3 linked regions of the Arabidopsis thaliana genome follow. The protein of the gene in region 3 purifies or fractionates together with the protein of the main gene of each other region. This does not show direct contact. Each region holds a gene or a part of one and is shown on either strand. Other genes may lie near its edges.

Region 1 (7,580 bases), 470 kb from region 3:
ACATATAATCCACAACATATGCATATCATTTCCCAAAACAATACAAGAAACCTGAAATCCAAAAAAGAAAAACCCAAAATCTTCGCTTCTTCATCTTCTTTTTACGTTTATATGGTGAGAAATTCTATGAAGGCTGAGTACGATATAGATCATCTTCCTCATCAAACCTTTTATGGTGATTATTCAAAAACTTTGGTTCCCATGAACAAGAACTCCCAAATAATAACCAAGATCAAGCCTAAGATCCGTATCATCCATATATTTGCTCCCGAGATCATCAACACCGATGTCAAGAACTTCCGCACACTCGTCCAAAGTCTAACCGGGAAACCGGAGATCACCAAAACCGGTTCTAAGAAAAAGATAACCAACACAAATTTTCCTGCGCCACCGGGTTTGCCTCAAGATTCCGGCCAAGAACATACGGCTGAACTGGACAACAGAATAATAGGGAGCCACGTGGTGAAGGAAGAATGGGGATCAAGTTCAAACACAAATACTTACTTTGATTTTGACGGTTTGATCGATCTTGATGAAGACGACAACATATTCTCAAGTCGATGGTTTGATCTTCAACAACAATAATTAGTTTGGTCACACCTTACCCTAATATGTAGGGTTTCTACTAATCGTAAGTCCTGTTGGTTTTGATGATGATTTGATCATTTATTCGATATGGAGCATAACAAGACATGGGTCAAGACAAGACCAAGGTTGAGACGATGATCATCTATATAGGTAGGAACATACATAACTTGTATATATGTACAAATGTTTGGATTTTTTGGGCTTGGGTGCCCTTTGATTTAATTTGTTAGACTGACTTAATTTACCAAGAAAGAGTGTAGTGATGAGTTTGTAGACTGATTTTGCCAAGAAAAAGTAAGTTTGTGTTTTGATCTCCGATCATGTGAAAACTCTACTTAAAAATGGTGTAACGTTGTACTCACGCGTGCGTGTGCAAGTTTTATATATAGAAAAGCGAGAATGATATTGTGATTGAATTTTTTAGATTGTTCATTTTTTTTCGTCAAATTATTTTGTTTGTTAATTCATATATAAGTCATGTTACTTACAACAAATTGTTTGATAAAACAAAAATGAATTCCATTAAACTGAATTAACGAAATACTATAATGATAAATGATTCTTACATGACTCTAAAAGAGTTTCGATTTGAATATATAAATGAATAAAGTTCTGTTTTATTGGCGATGTTCTTGATATATACCTTCAAAACTTTATGGCTAAATTACATTTTAACTTCTCAAAACGTTAGATTATGAAAGGTGGACTCACATTTCATAAACATTAAAATGATATGGTAATATGATTATAATGAGTTGTAATGGATATATGTCATATTTTTCCAATCTCATTCATTGAAATATCAGTTTATTTTTTGGATGACATAACGATCAATAGTGTCATATAATATGATATCCAATGTTTTAATATTAACTAGCTATAGCTATATCCATCATTGTTAATAGTTGTGTTACATCATTAAATAGTATTTCAAAAGAATATAAAAATTTCTGATAACTAATGGAGAATGAAGAATATCAAACCGCCCATTCGACCAAGAAATTATAATAACGAAGTTTATAACTTTTTTTTTCAATTGTGAAATGTCATTTTTACTTTATTTATTTCCAACAAAATAAAATTATGTTTTATCTAAACCCTTGGACTTTACCAAGAAGCTACTTTTTTATTTAGCAACAGCAAAAGCTACATACCATTTGTTCTTTATTTATTAATGACCGTTTTTTTAGGCATTAGAATCGTTACGGCTGCTTCGAATCTTGCGTCTCACGGACCGACGGAACTAACCAATCTCAACCGAACCCGAACATAACCTGTTCGTTTGGTTTTCTAAATGGTAATCAATTGGTTCATTATACCGGTTTGGTAAGAAGAATCCGTGTGTTTGGTTTACATATGTTGTAATTTGACGCTTGTTCATCACGTTGCAGATATATCTCAACATCTCTCAATTTTTCTCTCTACGTTGAAGAAACTTTCGAATTTCCCGTTAGTTCTTCTCCACGCTTTCTCTTTCCCTTTATCTCTTATCTGGTTAAGCCAATCTTGATTGTTTGGATTCGTAACCGATCAGTGTTGTGAGGTTTGAAAGAATGGTGTTTTTTCGCAGCGTATCAGCCATTTCAAGACTACGGTCTCGAGCAGTGAGTAGATTTAGCTTTCATCCTTTTTGTGTTTTGTTTGATGTGATACAATTTGATGATCAGATCTAATATAAGAAGCACAGGTGCAACAATCCTCACTTAGTAACTCCGTCAGATGGCTCCACTCTTCTGAATTGGTACTTTCTTAGGTTTTCATGTTCTCGTGATCATGCGGTTCAGTTTGAGAACCAAAAATTTGGAATTTTACCTTCTAGGTTTTGTGTTGATGTTGCTTAAAATGATGGTAATGCAGGACTTGAAGTCGCAGATGCAAGAGATCATTCCAGAACAACAGGTTTAGTTTCTACTTCGTTGTGATTGAGATTGTTTCTAATTTTAGGGCAGATTTCATGTAGAGATCAAGCTCTTCTCTCTGTTTTAGTTGATGTCATTTCTCATACACAAACACAACTTTCAACTTTCAGGACCGTTTGAAGAAACTGAAATCAGAACAAGGAAAGGTTCCAGTGGGGAACATCACCGTTGATATGGTACGGATTCTAATGATATTTGTGATTACACAAAGGCTTTATCTTTTAAACATACTCGTATATATAGTTTTACATGTGGTATTTGTGAAGGTACTTGGTGGAATGAGAGGGATGACTGGATTACTCTGGGAAACCTCATTGCTTGATGCAGATGAGGTATGGTTATAATTTTGATCACATAGATAATTTTCAGGTCAGATCTTGAATTAGAATTATATAACATATGATATTATCTTTTGTATCAGGGAATACGGTTTAGAGGCATGTCGATTCCTGAATGTCAGAAAATATTACCTTCAGCTGAGTCTGGAGAAGAGCCCTTGCCTGAGAGTCTTCTGTGGCTTCTATTAACTGGAAAGGTGTGATAATCTTAAAACATTTTATACATACAATAAGTTTCAACTTTATATATGAATGATCTAAAGTATAGTTTTCCCTCCTTTCGGTATAGGTGCCAACTAAAGAGCAAGCTAATGCTTTGTCAACAGAGTTGGCTCATCGTGCGGCTGTGCCAGGTTTGTAGTTCACCTCTAGGCTCTGTTTGTTTATGACCTCAGTTTCATGACTCATCAAAACTTAGCAAAATACAAGCTGATGATAATTATAAACTGGATATTATGATGTTGCAAATATAACAACTCTCCATTGCAGATTATATATACAAAGCTATAGATGCTTTGCCTTCAACAGCTCATCCAATGACTCAATTTGCTAGTGGTGTTATGGCCCTTCAGGTGGATTGCTCTGTTATGTACTATTTTTTTTTTCTATGCATTCTCTTAGAATTTGTTTATTTTCAGGAGCATCTTATCTTGTTGATTGTTATTCAGGTTCAAAGTGAGTTTCAAAAGGCGTATGAGCAGGGTGATATTTCTAAGTCAAAGTATAAACTTTCAATAGTTCTATACTTTGTTTCTTGATTGGCTTATAGTAGTAGGCATCATAGAAACTGAGGTTTCTTGTCAGGTACTGGGAACCAACCTTCGAAGATGCCCTAAACTTGATTGCTCGTGTTCCTGTTGTAGCTTCATACGTTTATCGGAGGTTAAATTTTAGGATCTTTTCCAATGCTTTTAGCTTCCTGGACTAGTTAATTTTCTTAGATTTTCCTTTCTTCAGAGTGTTATTTTTCAATGTCCATTCTAATTCACATTGCAGGATGTACAAGGATGGTAGCATCATTCCATTAGATGATTCTTTGGATTATGGTGCAAATTTTTCACACATGCTGGGATTTGATAGTCCTCAGATGAAAGAGCTCATGAGGCTTTATGTCACTATCCACAGGTTAGTCCTGGTTCTCTTCGTTTCAACATGTCTCATTAATTAGAATACATAAGCTAAAGTTTTCTTGTATATAATGATGATCTTCCTTTATTTTACCAACTCTTACCAAATTTCTATAGCATGATCAAGGTTTTTTTTTCCCTTGTCTACTGGTTTCTGTTTTAGTGATCATGAAGGTGGAAATGTTAGTGCTCACGCTGGTCACCTGGTATGTATTTGCCACATGATCTTGATGCATGATAATGTTTTGAACTTATAGACATTTCTGATGGTTCTGTTTTTGGCTAATGATGTTTCTTCACTTAGGTTGGGAGTGCACTTTCAGATCCATATCTTTCATTTGCTGCTGCATTGAATGGTTTAGCTGGGCCACTCCATGGTTTGGCTAATCAGGTATTTATATCCTTAATGAGTCTTATATTGTTCGAATCTACAAGTGTATATAACTTGAACTCTAAGATTGACTCTTAATTATAAGCTTAAACTTGGAATCTTACTCTGTTTTTTTTCGTTGTCTTGTTGTAGGAAGTTTTGCTGTGGATCAAATTAGTTGTTGAGGAATGTGGAGAAAGTATATCAAAGGAACAGCTAAAAGATTATGTCTGGAAAACGTTAAACAGTGGCAAGGTTGACAAAATTATGCTCTGCTTTGCCTTTTGAAACTATCCATATGTATTGCATGCTAATCATGACAGGCCATAACTTGAATTATTGTATAAATAATGAATAAAAGCTTCGGATTATGTTTTGATTATGGGGTTTGCCTGTGAATGTTGTCAGGAAACTTAAATAAACATTTGTCTTGCAGGTTGTTCCAGGATATGGCCATGGTGTTTTGCGTAAAACGGATCCAAGATATATATGCCAAAGAGAGTTTGCCTTGAAGCATCTACCTGATGATCCTCTTTTTCAGCTGGTAACTTTTTTTCCCCCTCAAATCTTTGGTCATGCTTTAAAATTTTACTGGCTCACAAATTATGCAAGTCTATAGGTCTCAAAACTTTATGAAGTGGTGCCTCCTATTCTAACCGAGCTGGGAAAGGTACTACTTATACTCATTCATTTCATGTGCTACCAGATTTTCTGATTTTCTCTGGTTTTATGAATCTTGAAATTGCTGTATCAGGTCAAGAACCCGTGGCCTAACGTTGATGCTCATAGCGGAGTGCTTCTGAACTACTATGGTCTAACCGAAGCAAGGTAGGAACTACTTGTGTATCGAGGCTTTGACCTTGTTTTGCTGAATCTTGGTTATTATAGAGTGACATTCCTTTCAAATATAGATACTACACGGTGCTTTTTGGCGTCTCAAGAAGTCTTGGAATCTGCTCGCAGGTACATACATACATTCATGCCATCGACAATTCGATTTTAGTACGTATCGCCATATCCTTCACAATAAAGTCAGACTAATCTTTTATTCCTTTTCTGTTTCAGCTGATATGGGACAGGGCACTTGGACTGCCACTTGAGAGACCAAAGAGTGTAAACATGGACTGGCTCGATAACTTCACGCGCTTGAACCGCTAAGTTAATCCCTGACTGATGTTGGTCAAGGTTCTCTCTTTTATCACTTCAGCCTTCTCTTCCATTTGATTGGGTAGCTTTTAGAGATAAAAAAAAAACGATTTTTCGTCGAAATTTTGTTCTACAGAGTTTTCATTTTGGTTCTTCTGCAAAAACAATAAAGTCAAACAAGTAAAGAAACAGTCTTTCTCAGATTGAGACACCATATTATTGTTCCTCAACTTTGATAGACAAATGATGACCATTGATATGTATTGATTAGTCTTTGGTGAATTATCGCATAATAAACAATACTCATGCAACCAGTCCCGCTCAAACAGAGTGTTTGAAGTGAACAGAAGCAGAGTCAAGAAATTCAAAGCCTCGGGATCAAACAGAAGCTTCCTCCTATCTTAAGAAGCTCCCTACGAAGCTTTATGATGATTCTACAAAACACATTTGCTATCTTCAGTGAACAGTAAGATGCAACGTGTTCTCTTCTAAACCTTCAGATATTTGGCTAAGTATAAGACTCTTCGTAATCACAAAAAGCCAGAAATGCGAAATTGATTTTGAGTCTTCTTCCTCACAAGTTTTCTCTAACTTTCAGAGGAGTCGCTGGATCCTGTTACCGAGAATTATTAGAAACCGAGAGCAGAGGTTTCTAGCTAGGACAGGAAATATATTATTAGAACATATCCTAGTCTTCCTTGTCATGGCCAGTCCAGTGGTGCAAGAGAAACATACAATTCCAACTCAAGTATGTGATGGACTTGACTTGCTTAAGCCGTACGGCATCCTCGGAAAACCAAAACCATGTCGGAAAAAGGAACTTGACTTCCTTGAGGCTTACGGTTTCCTGGGCTCGAACCCAACTACCCAAGTCAAGTGACAGAGAGTCTTGACATAGATTAGGCACCTCCTTACTAAAGCCAGACAACTATACAAGATTATTGGTTCAAATATTAGTCAATCCTTTCGCGTTTTCTGGCTTGACCCGTCTCGTCATGCAAGGGTTGGTCACGAGTTTCTTATTCTTCTAAAGTTTACCAAAATTAATCCCCTTTCTTTATCTTTGCGTGTGAGTGTGAATTAAAGTATTGATTTATTTAATGATGGGTTTAACTTAAAAAGTTTAAAATTGTGTCATCAAAACCCATCAAGACGTGTCTTGTAACTCTGTATCACACAAACATTCGTGTGTACTAATAAATGCAAATATTTTAGTCACACCTTTTCGTAATTATTTATTTATCATTTAAATAAGTGACAAATCTGGGTCCAATCTCCATTAGAGGCCCATTTACAACGAATTAAAGCCCATGTCTTTTTGAAGTGGATAAATTCCATGCCCAAGTTACTCACATTAACCAACATCGATATAAAAGGAACATTCTATTTCTAGTAACCCATGAGGGTCATTCCTGTAAATAGATCTGCCTTCCTTCCTCCTCTCCGTAGACGGTTGTTGCACACAAAGCGAGGTTGGTTTGACCCGAACCTACCCGACCCGTTACTATATATATAAACACAAAATGGGTAAAGCAAAGGTGAAAATCTTATACGTAGGTCTATATCATTTCCATATGAAGTGGAGATATATATATATAGCTAACGAGACCCTAAATATTTTTTTCTTTCTTATAACATATAGTTTCATTTCATATATTTAAAGGCTTCATAATACGAAACAAGGTGATAAGAAAAAAAAAAAGAAAAAAAAAAAGCAAATTAAAAATTAAATCCCTAAAAACAAACGAGCGTATTGTTATGAAGGAGGACGAAGAAGAAGAAGCAGTGATATCGAACGGCATGAACGACGACGACGATACTAACAATATTAACAACAGTTCCACTGAATTTGATAACAATCGTATCGGAGACGGAGACGATAACAGTAATCTGAATCAGATCAAACAAGTATGGGGAACGTGGGAGGAGTTGGTGTTAACATGCGCCGTTAAACGTCATGCTTTTTCCGATTGGGACTCCGTCGCTAAGGAGGTTCAGGCTCGTTCCCGGAGTTCTCTCATCGTTTCCGCCGTCAATTGCAGGCTTAAGTATCAAGATCTCAAACGTAGGTTCCAAGATTCCGTCGACGTCG
Region 2 (5,900 bases), about 18 Mb from region 3:
CTAAGTTGCAGGTCCAAAATATGAAATCTATGTCAATAACTATTCTTACACAAAACAAAGATAAATGTAAAATAGGAAGGGAGCTAAACTCACTTGCTTAGAAGGCTAAGATGCACAAAGTTAGCCTGCACCTCCTTTGCCTAGTAAGTAAAAATTAGTTAATAGAAGCATATTTAACAATGATATAATAGAAGTAGAAGTATATTTAAAAGATGTTAGTCAAAACCTGAAGTCTGTTCTCCCAGTCTGCGCCGTAAAGTTCACCCAGTACAGATCCAGCCTTGACCACAAACTGAGGTAACTCTTTAAAAAAATCCACAATACTATAAACAGAAAAGAGGAAAATCGTCACTACAAATGAATTTAAGAATGACAAGGAAGGAAGAATTGAACACTACTTACTTTAGCTTCAGAGCCCTCAGTATCTGACATAGATTAAACTCATTATCACCAGACACTGACAGACCATCCGCTTCTTTTCTCACACTAAGCCTCTTCACTGAATAGAGAATAAACGCAAACCAGAACCTCTCTACTTCTTCCCGCTAATAAGAAGAAGAAAAAAGGATTTAGTCATAATGAAACCACAGTTAACTGATAAAAGAGAAGTTAGAGGAAAAATGTATTTCACCGTTCCACTTCCAATGTTAGACATGCTTGCTGACAAAATTCGTTTGGTTTCTGTAAACAACTTCAAAGCTTCATCGCAAGTGCTCCCATCAAGAGACAGAACTTTCTGCAATAAGAAATCAACTACAGGGATTAGAGCTAGTCCTCAAAATTTCCGAGAGAACTCAAATGGTATCTTCAACTAAACAAATGCAACTAGATCAGCAAAGAGAAGAGTAAACCTCGCATATGTCCAAGAGAGAGGCTTCGCTTCTTTTCCCATTTGGTTCAATGGGCGGGGTCACTGGAGGCTGAACTTCTTCCATAGTCTCCAACGCAGCTGAAAACATGCAAAATCAAGCTAATTTTACTTCCAATTAAACTGCTAACTGAAGACGAAGAAAAAGGGACTTTTCAAGCAAAGAGATTTGTTAATTTAATCACACTGAAATTCAATAGGAACCATGCCCAACCCATTCGGAAGAACACACTAACAGACATGAGAAAACAAACTCCCAATTTCCCAAAACATGGCAGAAAGACAAAATTTGGGGGAAAAAAAGAAGAGAAATTGGGGCATAATCTAAAACCCACCACTCCGGAAAAATTTTACCCAGATGTTATCTTAAATATTCATTCAAAGTTTTTCTCTTTTTTGTTTTTGGAGAATTCTCTCACCAACTTACAATCGAATAGCGAAATATCAATAGAAAATTTCAGATAAACCACCTAGAGGATAAGATTTCAAATCAAAGGATAGGCAATAGAGAAAGATCTTACCTTTTTGTGTCACAGATCCCAATACCAGACGTCGCCGATTAAAGCCTGAGCAGAAGATCTGATTTTTAAGAAGCCCGACTTCTAACGCCTCCTCCAAAAAATTCGACAAATTCAGAGGAATCACAGAGATCTCCGAAAACCCTACAAATTTTCCCTCCTCTCAGTGTCTCTCTCTATCTTCACCTGACTTCCCTCTTCTCTCTCTAGAATGGGGTCTGATTATGCGGCAAACCCTAAAAAAGGATATATCTCGCGCGGGAAAAACAACACGGAGAATACATACACATACGTATACAATTATATTCGCGCGCTTTCAACCACTATTAAATCGACACGTACCCATCTGTGACCCAATTTTACCGCCAAAACTTACTTACTGTTGCGTGAAACGCTGAGAGGGAAAGATTCGCCGTCACGGCGGGGTCGAAACAAACGGAGTGGGCCATTAACGCCGTCTGGGTTTTCGTGACCGCGACAAAGCCTCGTGTGAGTTATGATTGGGCCCACCCTTAATACGATGCCGTTTCTAGTTTAGGTCACGCGGGAAATTACATATTTGCCATTGTAGAACGTTTGGTTGCAGAAGTATGAGTGTCCTATCCGCGGATGGATTCAGATTAAGTCTTCTTCGTCATCTTCGAGTGTGAGTGGATCCAGAGAGAGAATTAGATATTTCCGACACGAGGCAAATTCCTAGTGGCTCATGGCGTCATCATCTGATCACACGGCGAAGATAATCGACGGCAAGGCGATTGCTCATACCATCAGATCAGAGATCGCCGAGGAAGTTCGCGGTCTATCTGAGAAACACGGCAAGGTAAACGCATCTTATGAATCAGTGTCCTAATCTTGACATGTCTCTCCTTATAATTCTCCGTTCTTTTATAAGATGATAGCACTATTGAAAATTTACTCTCTTTTAGCTTTATGGTTTAAAATGACTAGATTTAAGCAGCTATGATCACAACCTTCTATTGAAAATGCTTAACAGGGTCAAATGTAAGCTCCATTTTAGTTAGATCACTGTTATTTTGTTTCGCTGGATTTTTGAGCTGCCTGCATTACTTCAAGTGGCATACTATCTTATTTATACAGATAGTGTGTGCTAAGCTTATAATGTTTGATATCATTGTAATAAAATAGAAGGAACGAGAGTATGTGTAATAAATGGTTTAGTGCGTTTGTTCAGTTGCTTCAGTTGGACCCCTTTATATAGTTTCAAGAATGTACGAGATTCAATCGAATCTGATTTTACCTTCATGCAGGTCCCAGGACTAGCTGTAGTTATTGTTGGGAGCCGAAAGGATTCACAGACCTATGTGAATACGAAGAGGAAAGCGTGCGCTGAGGTTGGGATTAAGTCATTTGACGTGGGCCTACCAGAGGAAGTTTCTGAAGCTGATCTTATTAGCAAAGTTCATGAACTAAATTCAAATCCGGATGTCCATGGTTAGTTGTGGCGGTAAATAATACTTGATTTTGTATGTCTTCTCGGTTATCATTAGTCTAAACTATTAAGGATAGATAGAAACTTTAATGTCTATGCAAGTCTTTCGTTTTGGTATAAAGCAAACATTCCTTGCTCTCCTGTGCTTATATAAGCTTTGGTGTTTGATTTGCAGGCATATTAGTTCAACTCCCATTGCCGAAACATATTAATGAGGAGCATATATTGGGTGCAATCAGCATTGATAAAGATGTCGATGGCTTCCATCCTTTGAATATTGGTAAGCTAGCCATGAAAGGCAGAGAACCCCTCTTCCTTCCTTGCACCCCAAAGGTACTTCTCCTTTTTTTGCATATAGACTTCAGTCTCTTTCAAGCGAGAAATCTCAGTGTTCTGTTTTTCTTCTGTATCAACTATGAGGTGATTTTCTGTGTGTGCAGGGATGTTTGGAACTCCTAGCTAGAAGCGGCGTAAAGATAAAGGGGCAACGAGCAGTTGTTGTAGGTCGGAGTAACATTGTTGGTTTGCCCGTTTCACTTCTTTTGCTCAAGGCTGATGCTACTGTCACAACTGTACATTCTCACACCAAGGATCCTGAGGCTATCATACGGGAAGCTGACATTGTTATTGCTGCATGCGGACAAGCCCACATGGTGATTTTCATACATTTTCATTGTCATTTAGAAGATAATTTAGTCTACCTCTTGTAGATCAATGTGAATAGTTTACAATTCAAATATACTATCGTTTTGACATTTCAGATTAAGGGCAACTGGATAAAGCCAGGGGCTGCAGTAATTGATGTTGGAACTAATGCAGTCAGCGACCCGAGCAAGAAATCAGGATACCGGTTGGTTGGAGATGTTGATTTCGCAGAAGCTTCAAAAGTTGCAGGTTTCATAACTCCGGTCCCTGGTGGTGTAGGCCCAATGACAGTGGCAATGCTTCTCAGGAACACCGTAGACGGTGCCAAGCGTGTCTTTGGCGAGTAAAACAATCTACTGTATGTAATAAAGAAACCAAGAGTTTCTCCATTCTGTAATTGTGTACTTGGCTTGACGATATTTTTCCACTCAAATAAATTGAAATTGGCGTTCCCTTTGGATTACCTTACATTGTTCTGCAACTAGCTAGAACGATTATTTCCGCAATTCAGTTAAATACAAGGGTGTCATCATGTGACTCAAAAGCATGTATGTTACTTGTCTGCATTGACCCAAGATCATGTACAATATTCATTGAAAATCTTAAGAGACTATATAATCCCATTACAGGAAGAGTTTAACACAACAAAGTTAAAGCATGCCCAAGGTATGGCAAACTCCAAGTTCCATGGGATGCTACAAGCGACACTAAAACTATCACGCTCTTGCTCTATCTGAATTAGTCAACACTTAAACAGTAGATTTCCTGTATACCACGACAACGGCAGCAGCATTCGGAATGAACTTATCATGCTTTCTGCAATAAGAAAAAGAGCATGCTTTGTAAGTAAACAAAGTGAACGAGAAAAGGAGAAGATAGTAACTAAACAGTGAAATCCAAACCTGCACTGGGAGATACAGCTTGAATTCCGGAGGAAGCTCCTCTTCAGAGTAGAGACGATCAGCAAAATATATGCGCCTAAGGCGGCAGTTAGCATGAATCTGAACTCGCAATGTCTCAGCATAATTAGTCCCATAAGCTCTCCTAGTAAGATCCGCTAAGTTAAGCTGGATTTGATTCCATCCCTCGTCCATCTTCAGTGGCATTGTGCAAATATACGGCTTTACTCTAGTGACAGCCTAGGAAAAATTGTTCAATACAAAACATCAATACTAGTCCCTAGGATTTTAGCATAATACACAAAGTGCAGCAGATCTAATGTATTGACAACAACTGTATTTACAAGCTTATCGAAAGATTAGGAGATTGATACCAACTGTTGTTAGTATACTAAACTAAACATTATCCAGAAGCTACCTACTAATCTATTGTGTGACATCAGACTAAGCCATTGATTAGAAATTGCTTGAAGAGAATAACCAATAACCTAAAACGCAGCATCGACACTACAGTAGATAAACTAGTGAAGACTGAATAAGCAAAGGGAAAGACATACATACTTGAAAGTTAGAAGCTCGGAAACGCCGGCGAACATTCTTGTCATCCAGAATCTGAATCTCGAATGAGAAATATTTCTTCATATCCTTCACCACCAAGACCAAAAAAGGAAGTTTGATACCAAGAGTAGCGGAAAGATCAGCAGGACATGTAATGTATGTAGACTGAATATTTGATCCAACTACTTCAAGCACATTGGATTGAATGTCATCATCATGGCAACGCTTCACATGTCCATCCACAACTATTAATCAAAAAACAATAAACAGGCTTAGGTAAACACTAATTTGATCAAATTCTAGAGAAATTGTAGCTCAGATAGAACAAGTCAACAATTATTTGTTAGACAAAGCTCACGGTTTTAAATTCATACAGCTTACAGAGGATTTTGACAAAAAATCACACTAACTTAGATTCAATTACTTATATCTAGCAAATATATTATAGATTATTTTGATCATAAAGCTCACCTTCTTTATCCCATATCTGAAGAGGCTTACTTCTGCAAAACAAAAAACCTCCATGATTTAAGAACAGTAGAACACATCAAACGATTCCAATTAATTAGATATTGAAAAGAAAAAAGTAACAAAATAATATACCCTAGACTGTACAAAATAGACAGAAACCCAGATTGAAACGTGTTCTTGAACATCTTCCTGCTCCTCCGGAATTTTCCTGCTTCTCCGATTCCGAGAAGAAGAAGCTCGTAGACTTGTCGTCGTATGATAATAAATCTATAGGGCTACCAAATTCCTCGTTATAAAGGCTTGGGCCTCGGCCCACTAATAAAGCCATGAGCCTTTGAGTTGAATGAAGATAGATAATAGATGCCATTTTTTCCAATATAATATTGCGGTTCAGCTGGATAAACCCAACGTGGTATTCCACCCGCTAATCACATGCCACGTGTCTTATTCTCCACAAAGAGAGTGTCACGTGTGCCTAGATATCAGCCAAG
Region 3 (8,132 bases):
TCTACTTGTGGAAAAGAAAATGTCTTGAAAATTGTGTCTCTCTTAGTGTCGTGTTAAAATTCCCCTTTTTTTGTCTCCAGTGTATGGAAATCTGCCTTCTCAAAGTCAGCTAGCTGATTGGGAGTTCACTGTTTCTCAGCATTCAGCTGTGCCACAAGGAGTATTGGTGAAATTTCTACTCTTTCGTTATTTGGATTTTCATACTAGTGCAAATTCCAAACTTTGTATCAGAATGCAAATCCAAACCAAAGAGGGATTTTGAAAATGATTTCTTGTCAAGTGTACAAGTTGTTTGTCTTGCTTGTAAACCATGTCTATTAAGGATACTGGATCTCTTTCTAGTATTAGTACCTTATGTCTTACTCGCCGTTGTGAATATAGTTATGTGTATATGCTTAGTAAAAGAATTTTCTATGGATTTTTGATCTGAGACGATTTCTGAATGTTTTTGCAGGATATCATACAGTCCATGCCTCATGATGCACACCCAATGGGAGTTCTTGTGAGTGCCATGAGTGCACTTTCTATCTTTCACCCTGATGCAAATCCTGCTCTTAGTGTAAGTTTTGAAATCCTGTTCTTTTCGTACTGTCAAGATGCCTTTTTCTGAAAATGGCTATGCCAACTCGATTTTCTTTCATTGGGTGCAGGGCCAAGACATTTACAAGTCAAAACAAGTTCGTGATAAACAGATTGTTCGCATTCTCGGAAAGGTATTGTTCTATCTGTTGATGATTTGTTTCCTTAACGTATCTGTGTATAAGTTGCGGGACTAGAAAAAGGGTTTACAACGTGTTTGCAGGCACCAACAATTGCAGCAGCTGCTTATTTGAGGACGGCAGGCAGGCCTCCTGTTCTTCCTTCGGCCAACCTTTCTTATTCAGAGAATTTCCTCTATATGCTGGATTCAATGTACTTTCCCCTCTTTCTTCTGTCTTTATTTGATTTAACACTTGCATTTTAAAAGGGTAGTCAGAAAAACTGTGTTTCTTTAGTCAGTTTAAATCTGTTTCAAGCTTCAAACGTGTCTGTAACACAGGATACATTCTTTAATCTTCAATTGATTACAGGGGCAATAGGTCTTACAAGCCTAATCCTCGTTTGGCTCGAGTGCTGGACATCCTCTTCATACTGCATGCTGAACATGAAATGAACTGCTCTACTGCTGCTGCTCGGCATCTTGCCTCTAGGTACTTATCAGTTATCACTGATTAGAGATATTCATTTAGACTTCTTTGAGTGTTTAAATCAGTATTGTGTTTCTGCAGTGGTGTTGATGTGTACACCGCATGTGCTGGAGCTGTTGGGGCGCTTTATGGTCCACTTCATGGTGGCGCGAACGAGGCCGTGCTTAAGATGTTAGCAGAGATTGGGACTGCTGAAAATATTCCAGATTTCATTGAAGGCGTGAAGAACAGGTAACTCAATGCTTAATAACTACAAGCACCAAGTACTCTGAATTGTGGTGAGTCATGCCGGTAATGTTATATCCCTTTTCTATGTTCTCAGAAAGAGGAAGATGTCAGGTTTTGGACATCGTGTTTACAAAAACTATGACCCCCGAGCAAAAGTTATAAAAAAACTGGCAGATGAAGTGTTCTCCATTGTTGGTAGGGATCCTCTCATCGAGGTACTGTAGATCCTTGTGCTCACGTATCTCTCCTAGTATTTGGTTGTCAAAAAAATTCTTATATAACATGACTGTGGGTTAAATTTTGTTTTGACGGATGATGTTTTCAGGTAGCAGTTGCTCTAGAGAAGGCGGCACTGTCTGATGAATATTTTGTTAAGAGAAAGCTGTACCCAAATGTTGATTTCTACTCTGGATTAATCTATAGGTAAGACATTGCTGATTCATCTGACATAGACCCTGTAACCATTAAGTTCTTTACCTGAACCTTGTGTTGGTAATTGAAATGGGGGAAAAACACAGGGCAATGGGATTCCCACCAGAATTCTTCACAGTCCTGTTCGCAGTCCCGCGTATGGCTGGATACTTGTCACACTGGCGTGAGTCGTTAGATGATCCTGACACTAGGATCATGAGACCCCAACAGGTAAAATACATAACTTGTTTGATAGATCAAAAGGTTTATAGTTTGAGCTAACTGAATTGTGTGGCTGCATATAGGCCTATACTGGAGTGTGGATGAGGCATTACGAGCCAGTGAGAGAACGAACGTTATCAAGTGATTCGGATAAGGATAAGTTTGGTCAAGTTTCCATTTCGAATGCATCAAGAAGGCGTTTAGCTGGATCATCTGCCCTTTAGTCTCAATCCTAATACTCACCAATAAAGAAGAAAACATTGGGATACCTCTGGGAAAACAAGAGAGTCTTCTCAACAACATGTGTTGTTTTCTTTCTCTTATTCTTAAACACTTAATAATACAACCCTATTCTTATTGTTTGTCTGTTATTTTAAAATGTTATGATTTAATAATAATAATCTTGTTATAGGGAACGACATGTACTTTTGATAAATTGCGCTTTTATTCCTGTTAATGTTAATTTCTGAAGACATGTCTAACACATTGGTTTGGAAAATGTCAACCACCAAATCATATCATTTAGGATTAACTGAATGTTATTTTTAGGGTGAATATGTTATGCAGATTCCAAGTGATAACAATAAGCTAACCACTCATTGAACATCATATCATATTTTTTTGTACGGTATTTATAATTTGCCTGAAAGTTTCCTATCATTTTGCATTATTGCCAATAATATTTCCATTTCAAATGAGAACAATTGTGAGAAGTGTGAACAAATATAAAAGAAAAGTGACGTTAAATAACAAACCCTGGAGTACCTGACACTGATTAACAGAAAGAAGTAAGAAGCAACCAAAACAATACATAACTGTCGCAGAGACACATACTTAAAATTGGTTAAAAGCCACAAAACTCTGATTGAAGACAAAGAAGACACTGTAGATTCACGCCAATCATACCCACAAAAGTATTAAGACAAAAGTGTTACGTAATGAAATTATCAAATTTCCCCACTATAAAACCATGCATGCCTATATATCACTTTGAACTACAACAGCCACTTGGTTTCTTATTCGCTTCCCTTTCTTGAATTGTGATCTTTTTGAGGTGACAAATGGAGATTTCGGAGAGAGCTAGAGCTCGATTAGCCGTTCTCAATGCGCACTTGACAGTATCTGAGCCGAATCAGGTGTTGCCAGCGATCGAACCATGGTGCACATCGGCTCACATAACCGCTGCACCGCATGGATCGCTTAAAGGAAATTTGAAGATCGTCGATGAGCGTACGGGGAATGAATATCAGGTCCCAGTCTCAGAGCATGGTACCGTTAAAACCGTTGATCTCAAGAAGGTATATATAATGAGTTTTTATGCTGAAGTTATTTCTTCATTGTGGCCATTAGTACTACGAATAGATTGTTTTTTGTATATTGTGTGAGTGTGTATAAATGGATTTTCATGTTTGGTGTGAAGATAACGACAGGGAAGGATGACAAGGGGCTTAACTTATACGATCCTGGTTACTTAAACACGGCTCCTGTTCGATCTTCGATTTCTTACATCGATGGAGATGAGGGAATCCTACGTTATCGGGGATACCCAGTTGAGGAGTTGGCTGAGAAAAGTACTTATACAGAGGTTACTTATCTCCTAAGTAAGTCTTGATCATCTTGTATAGCTCATTGTTGTTGCTTAATTATGATCATCTTGATCATCTTGTATAGCTCATAGTCTTGCTTTTGTGTGGGTATTTCTTTAAAATTTTGTCTCCCTTAGTGCTCTAGTTTACTACTGCTTTTTTTGTTTTTGCATGCAGTTTATGGGAATCTGCCTTCTCAAAGACAGCTAGCTGATTGGGAGTTTGCGATTTCTCAGAATTCAGCTGTGCCACAAGGAGTATTGGTGAGTTTCTTCTACTCTTTCCTAACTTTCTCTAGATCTTCGAGGTGAGATGATTTATCTGAATGTTTTCACAGGATATGATACAGTCCATGCCTAATGATGTACATCCAGTAGGAGCTCTTGTCACTGCAATGAGTGCACTTTCCATCTTTTATCCTGATGCAAATCCGTCTCTTATGGTAAGTTACGTTTTTATAATCCTGCTTTCTTCTGAAAATTTCCACGCCGACATGGAAATCCCCATTTGGTGCAGGGCCTAGGTGTTTACAAGTCAAAACAAGTTCGTGATAAACAGATTGTTCGTGTTCTTGGACAGGTATTGTTCTGTCTGTGTGATTTGGTGCCTCAATGTATAACCGGACTATGAATTATAATATAACGTGTCTGCAGGCCCCAACAATTGCAGCAGCTGCTTATTTGAGGAAGGCAGGCAAGCCTCCTGTTCAACCTTTGAGCAACCTTTCTTATTCAGAGAATTTCCTCTATATGGTGGAATCAATGTACGTTATTGTCCCTCTTTGTTTGATTTGGAGATGGTAGCCATAAAACTGTGCACTTGTTTAGTCTCATCTTCCATTGATTACAGGGGAGATAGGTCTTACAAGCCTAATCCTCGTTTGGCTCGAGTGCTGGACATCCTCTTCATACTGCAAGCTGAACATGAAATGAACTGCTCTACTGCTGCTGCTAGGCACCTTTCCTCTAGGTACTACTTATCATTGGTTAGAGATTCATTTGAGTCTGCTATGAGATACTTTTTAATCAGCACATAAATCCTCTGTTTATGTAGTGGTGGTGATGTGTATACTGCTGTTTCGGGAGGTGTTGGAGCCATTTATGGTCCCCTTCATGGTGGTGCAGTTGAGGCTACGATTAACATGTTATCAGAGATTGGGACTGTTGAAAATATTCCAGAGTTCATTGAAAGCGTGAAGAATAAGTAACTCAATTCTTAGAGAGTATACCTAGAATGTGATGGTCAATATTCCATTAATGTTAACTCTTTTTATTCCAGGAAGAGGAGGTTGTCGGGTTTTGGACACCGCATTTACAAAAACTACGATCCCAGAGGAAAAGTCGTTAAGAAACTGGCGGATGAAGTGTTCTCCATTCTTGGAAGGGATCCTCTGGTTGAGGTACTCTGTATTCTTGTTGCTCACGTTTCCTTGTTGAATCCTTCATATGTATGATGAATTTGGTTTAAGAAAATATTTGGTGTATAAATAATGTTTTCAGGTAGGAGATGCTCTAGAGAAGGCGGCACTTTCTGATGAATATTTTGTTAAGAGAAAGCTGTACCCAAATGTTGATTTCTACTCTGGATTAATCAATAGGTAAGACATTGATTAGTTATCTAACAAATTCTGACTAATGAGTTGTTGTAACCATTGAGTTCTTTCTTTATTTGAATCTTTTTTGTTGGTAACTGAAATGGGCCAAAACACAGGGCAATGGGAATCCCATCATCATTCACCGCAGTATCACGTATCGCTGGATACTTGTCACACTGGCGTGAGTCTTTAGATGATCCTGACACAAAGATCATGAGACCCCAACAGGTAAAATACACCTTTAATATATAAGTGACTTTGTTTAGATAACATTGGCTCATGGCTAATAAAGACACTTTTTGATAGATCAATGAGTAATTAAGTTTTCTTTTTTGCTCATGAGATTATACATTATGCATAGATACATACACTCTTGGATATATTAATGACTTGAACCTTCTTCTTTTTTTGGCTCATGAGTAATACAATTTTTAATGGATATATGCAGTTTTTGAATAGATCAAAAGTTTTTTTTGGCACAGGTCTATACTGGAGCGGGGATAAGGCATTACGAGACAGTGAGAGAAAGAACCAAGCTGTGATTCGGATTTGGATCAGTTGGGTCAAGTTTCCATTTCGAATGCATCAAGAAGGCGTTAGCTGGGTCAAGTCTCGTTCCTATACTACTAATATGAAATTTGACTCGGAAAGCCAAGCGAATATACAAATATATATAAAGAATATATATGCTTATATAAAATATAGTTTGGGTAAACCCCATCCGACCTCGAGTTAGTAATACATGTGTGTGTGTCTATGTATGTATAAGTTGTCAAAATAAAATAAAAATATTTGTGTATTATAGCATGTTTTTAAGAATATGATGTTGAACAATAATCATAAAGTGATAAAAACAGTTCAAATCTAAATTAAATATAACCGAAACAGTAAGAAGATAGTAGACAACAAATCAAGATGAGATTGGTAATTGAACATATATGCAGCAATAATGACGAAAACCAAAAGGGTCTTCTCAACAATGTGTGTTGTTTTCTTTCTCCTTATAGTTAAAACACTCAATAATCTACATACTATTGAATTTGTTTTTCATTTGTTTGTCTGTTATTTTAAAATTTATGATTTAAAACATATCTTAAGTATAGTGGTTCTATAATCAATTCCATCTAATAATTAAGTTGGTATAGGAAATTAAGACATAACTTTTGATAGATATTGTGCCTTTTGTGAGGAAAGTTCTAAAAGAAGATCTTCTTATTCTTCTTTAGTTAATATAACACATTGCTTTAGTTCTAAGATTTTTTATATATCACACATTGATTCGGAATAATTAGTTAACCACCAAATCATATCCTTTTAAAAAAATGTCATACAATATAGTGTTGAATGAGAGATTATTTTCTCCTCAACCATTTGGAAACTCTATACAACAAGATTTCATCCCTGAAACTTGGAAATGAAAAAATGTATTTGGCCGAGTTTTGTTTTTGTCCTAAGCACTAAATAAGAACGTGAGATATATAGTTCACCGCGTCTAAAGACGAAAGTGATGGGTCTCAGATTTAGGACACGAAAGTAGGCCCCACCATACGTGATGAGCTGTATACGTATTTATTTTATTTGTAAAAAATAAGCCCTTTATATTTACGGTTAATTACACAATTAGCCCATTTCTTTCTTCTCCACGATCACAGCGACGAGGTCGAATACGATCTTCTTACCCCTGTCGACAGTTCTGAATTAATATCAATTTTCATTGTCTTCCTATCTCTCTTTCTCTCTTTGGCTTCTTCCAATCTAATTTCAGTGATTTACTTGTTAAGAATTCACCTTTTGAGAGGCCCAGGTATGTCAATCCCAAATCTCACTCTTTTCTTCTCTTAGTTTGGTTTGAAACAATTGAATCTGGTGGGAAATTTAGGCGTGTATCCATATAACCTGACTGCTCAATTCTGAGTCCAATTGATTAGGTGTGTTCTGTGATCTAGATTTCATCTTCTGGGAAACGATCTATCCTAAAGTCGTAGACTTTGATTCAATTAGAAAATTCGTAGACTTTGATTCAATCTGGGAACAAAAAATGGATAATCTGATGAATCTCTGTATGGATCGTTCGAGATAATGATTGGGTGCTTGGTTCATTAGCCTAAGATTTTCCTAGTGAAACTTAAGAATCTTTGCGTGTTTGTTCAATTATAATTAGTAAACCAGAATTTACGAGATTTCCATGTTGATCTCTTTCCTCAATGATGCAAGTATTGTTTCGCATCATCGAAAAATCATCTTCTGTTGTTGGCTTCTGTCAATAGAGTAAGTCTGTTTGTGTCCTTGTTTAATCCCATCTCTTTCATTTGCTGTAGTTTTGAAATATGGCTGGCCAAAACGCGCGTTTGAATGTGGTTCCCACTGTTACTATGCTCGGGGTTATGAAAGCTCGTCTTGTTGGCGCTACAAGAGGTCATGCTCTCCTCAAGAAAAAGAGTGATGCTTTAACTGTTCAGTTTAGGGCACTTCTCAAGAAAATCGTTACAGCTAAGGAGTCTATGGGAGATATGATGAAGACATCGTCTTTTGCTCTTACCGAAGTAAAGTATGTTGCTGGTGACAATGTCAAACATGTTGTCCTCGAGAACGTTAAAGAAGCTACTTTGAAGGTTCGTTCTCGGACAGAGAATATCGCTGGAGTGAAGCTGCCTAAGTTTGATCACTTCTCTGAAGGTGAGACCAAGAATGACTTGACCGGTTTAGCTAGAGGTGGTCAACAGGTCCGAGCTTGCCGTGTTGCTTATGTGAAAGCCATTGAAGTTCTAGTTGAGCTTGCTTCTCTCCAGACTTCTTTCTTGACCCTTGATGAAGCAATCAAGACGACTAACCGTAGGGTCAACGCTCTGGAGAATGTGGTGAAACCAAAGCTGGAGAATACAATCAGTTACATCAAGGGAGAGC

The links. The genes of interacting proteins can lie anywhere in the genome.
Region 1: the proteins of CSY1 (region 3) and CSY5 fractionate together in Arabidopsis thaliana (co-fractionation; one large-scale study listed by BioGRID). This does not show direct contact.
Region 2: the proteins of CSY1 (region 3) and AT3G12290 fractionate together in Arabidopsis thaliana (co-fractionation; one large-scale study listed by BioGRID). This does not show direct contact.

The regions. Positions count from the first base shown.
Region 1 is NC_003074.8:22,190,747-22,198,326, forward strand, and holds CSY5 (citrate synthase 5), read left to right. Parts: upstream 1-1,983; 5' UTR 1,984-2,141; coding exon 2,142-2,192; intron 2,193-2,275; coding exon 2,276-2,329; intron 2,330-2,445; coding exon 2,446-2,487; intron 2,488-2,617; coding exon 2,618-2,683; intron 2,684-2,773; coding exon 2,774-2,839; intron 2,840-2,928; coding exon 2,929-3,042; intron 3,043-3,134; coding exon 3,135-3,198; intron 3,199-3,334; coding exon 3,335-3,417; intron 3,418-3,513; coding exon 3,514-3,566; intron 3,567-3,649; coding exon 3,650-3,727; intron 3,728-3,841; coding exon 3,842-3,970; intron 3,971-4,135; coding exon 4,136-4,178; intron 4,179-4,276; coding exon 4,277-4,363; intron 4,364-4,495; coding exon 4,496-4,597; intron 4,598-4,778; coding exon 4,779-4,886; intron 4,887-4,961; coding exon 4,962-5,012; intron 5,013-5,096; coding exon 5,097-5,170; intron 5,171-5,253; coding exon 5,254-5,305; intron 5,306-5,407; coding exon 5,408-5,500; 3' UTR 5,501-5,701; and 1 more. Other genes in the region: AT3G60090 (VQ motif-containing protein), read left to right, coding at 112-585; AT3G60110 (DNA-binding bromodomain-containing protein), read left to right, coding at 7,247-7,580.
Region 2 is NC_003074.8:3,917,499-3,923,398, forward strand, and holds AT3G12290 (Amino acid dehydrogenase family protein), read left to right. Parts: upstream 1-1,964; 5' UTR 1,965-2,092; coding exon 2,093-2,206; intron 2,207-2,654; coding exon 2,655-2,838; intron 2,839-3,011; coding exon 3,012-3,169; intron 3,170-3,276; coding exon 3,277-3,489; intron 3,490-3,597; coding exon 3,598-3,828; 3' UTR 3,829-4,021; downstream 4,022-5,900. Other genes in the region: RBR1 (retinoblastoma-related 1), read right to left, coding at 94-140, 227-323, 403-545, 632-736, 852-935; BUG22 (cilia/flagella-associated protein), read right to left, coding at 4,289-4,297, 4,384-4,620, 4,942-5,183, 5,410-5,441, 5,542-5,594. UniProt on the Arabidopsis thaliana protein: Catalyzes the oxidation of 5,10-methylenetetrahydrofolate to 5,10-methenyltetrahydrofolate and then the hydrolysis of 5,10-methenyltetrahydrofolate to 10-formyltetrahydrofolate.
Region 3 is NC_003074.8:21,718,704-21,726,835, reverse strand, and holds CSY1 (citrate synthase 1), read left to right. Parts: upstream 1-3,045; 5' UTR 3,046-3,109; coding exon 3,110-3,346; intron 3,347-3,468; coding exon 3,469-3,649; intron 3,650-3,811; coding exon 3,812-3,897; intron 3,898-3,971; coding exon 3,972-4,076; intron 4,077-4,150; coding exon 4,151-4,213; intron 4,214-4,287; coding exon 4,288-4,397; intron 4,398-4,483; coding exon 4,484-4,603; intron 4,604-4,687; coding exon 4,688-4,837; intron 4,838-4,912; coding exon 4,913-5,033; intron 5,034-5,133; coding exon 5,134-5,231; intron 5,232-5,344; coding exon 5,345-5,456; intron 5,457-5,710; coding exon 5,711-5,770; 3' UTR 5,771-6,063; downstream 6,064-8,132. Other genes in the region: CSY2 (citrate synthase 2), read left to right, coding at 81-166, 455-559, 651-713, 803-912, 1,071-1,190, 1,269-1,418, 1,510-1,630, 1,741-1,838 and 2 more; AT3G58730 (vacuolar ATP synthase subunit D (VATD) / V-ATPase D subunit / vacuolar proton pump D subunit (VATPD)), read left to right, coding at 7,556-8,132.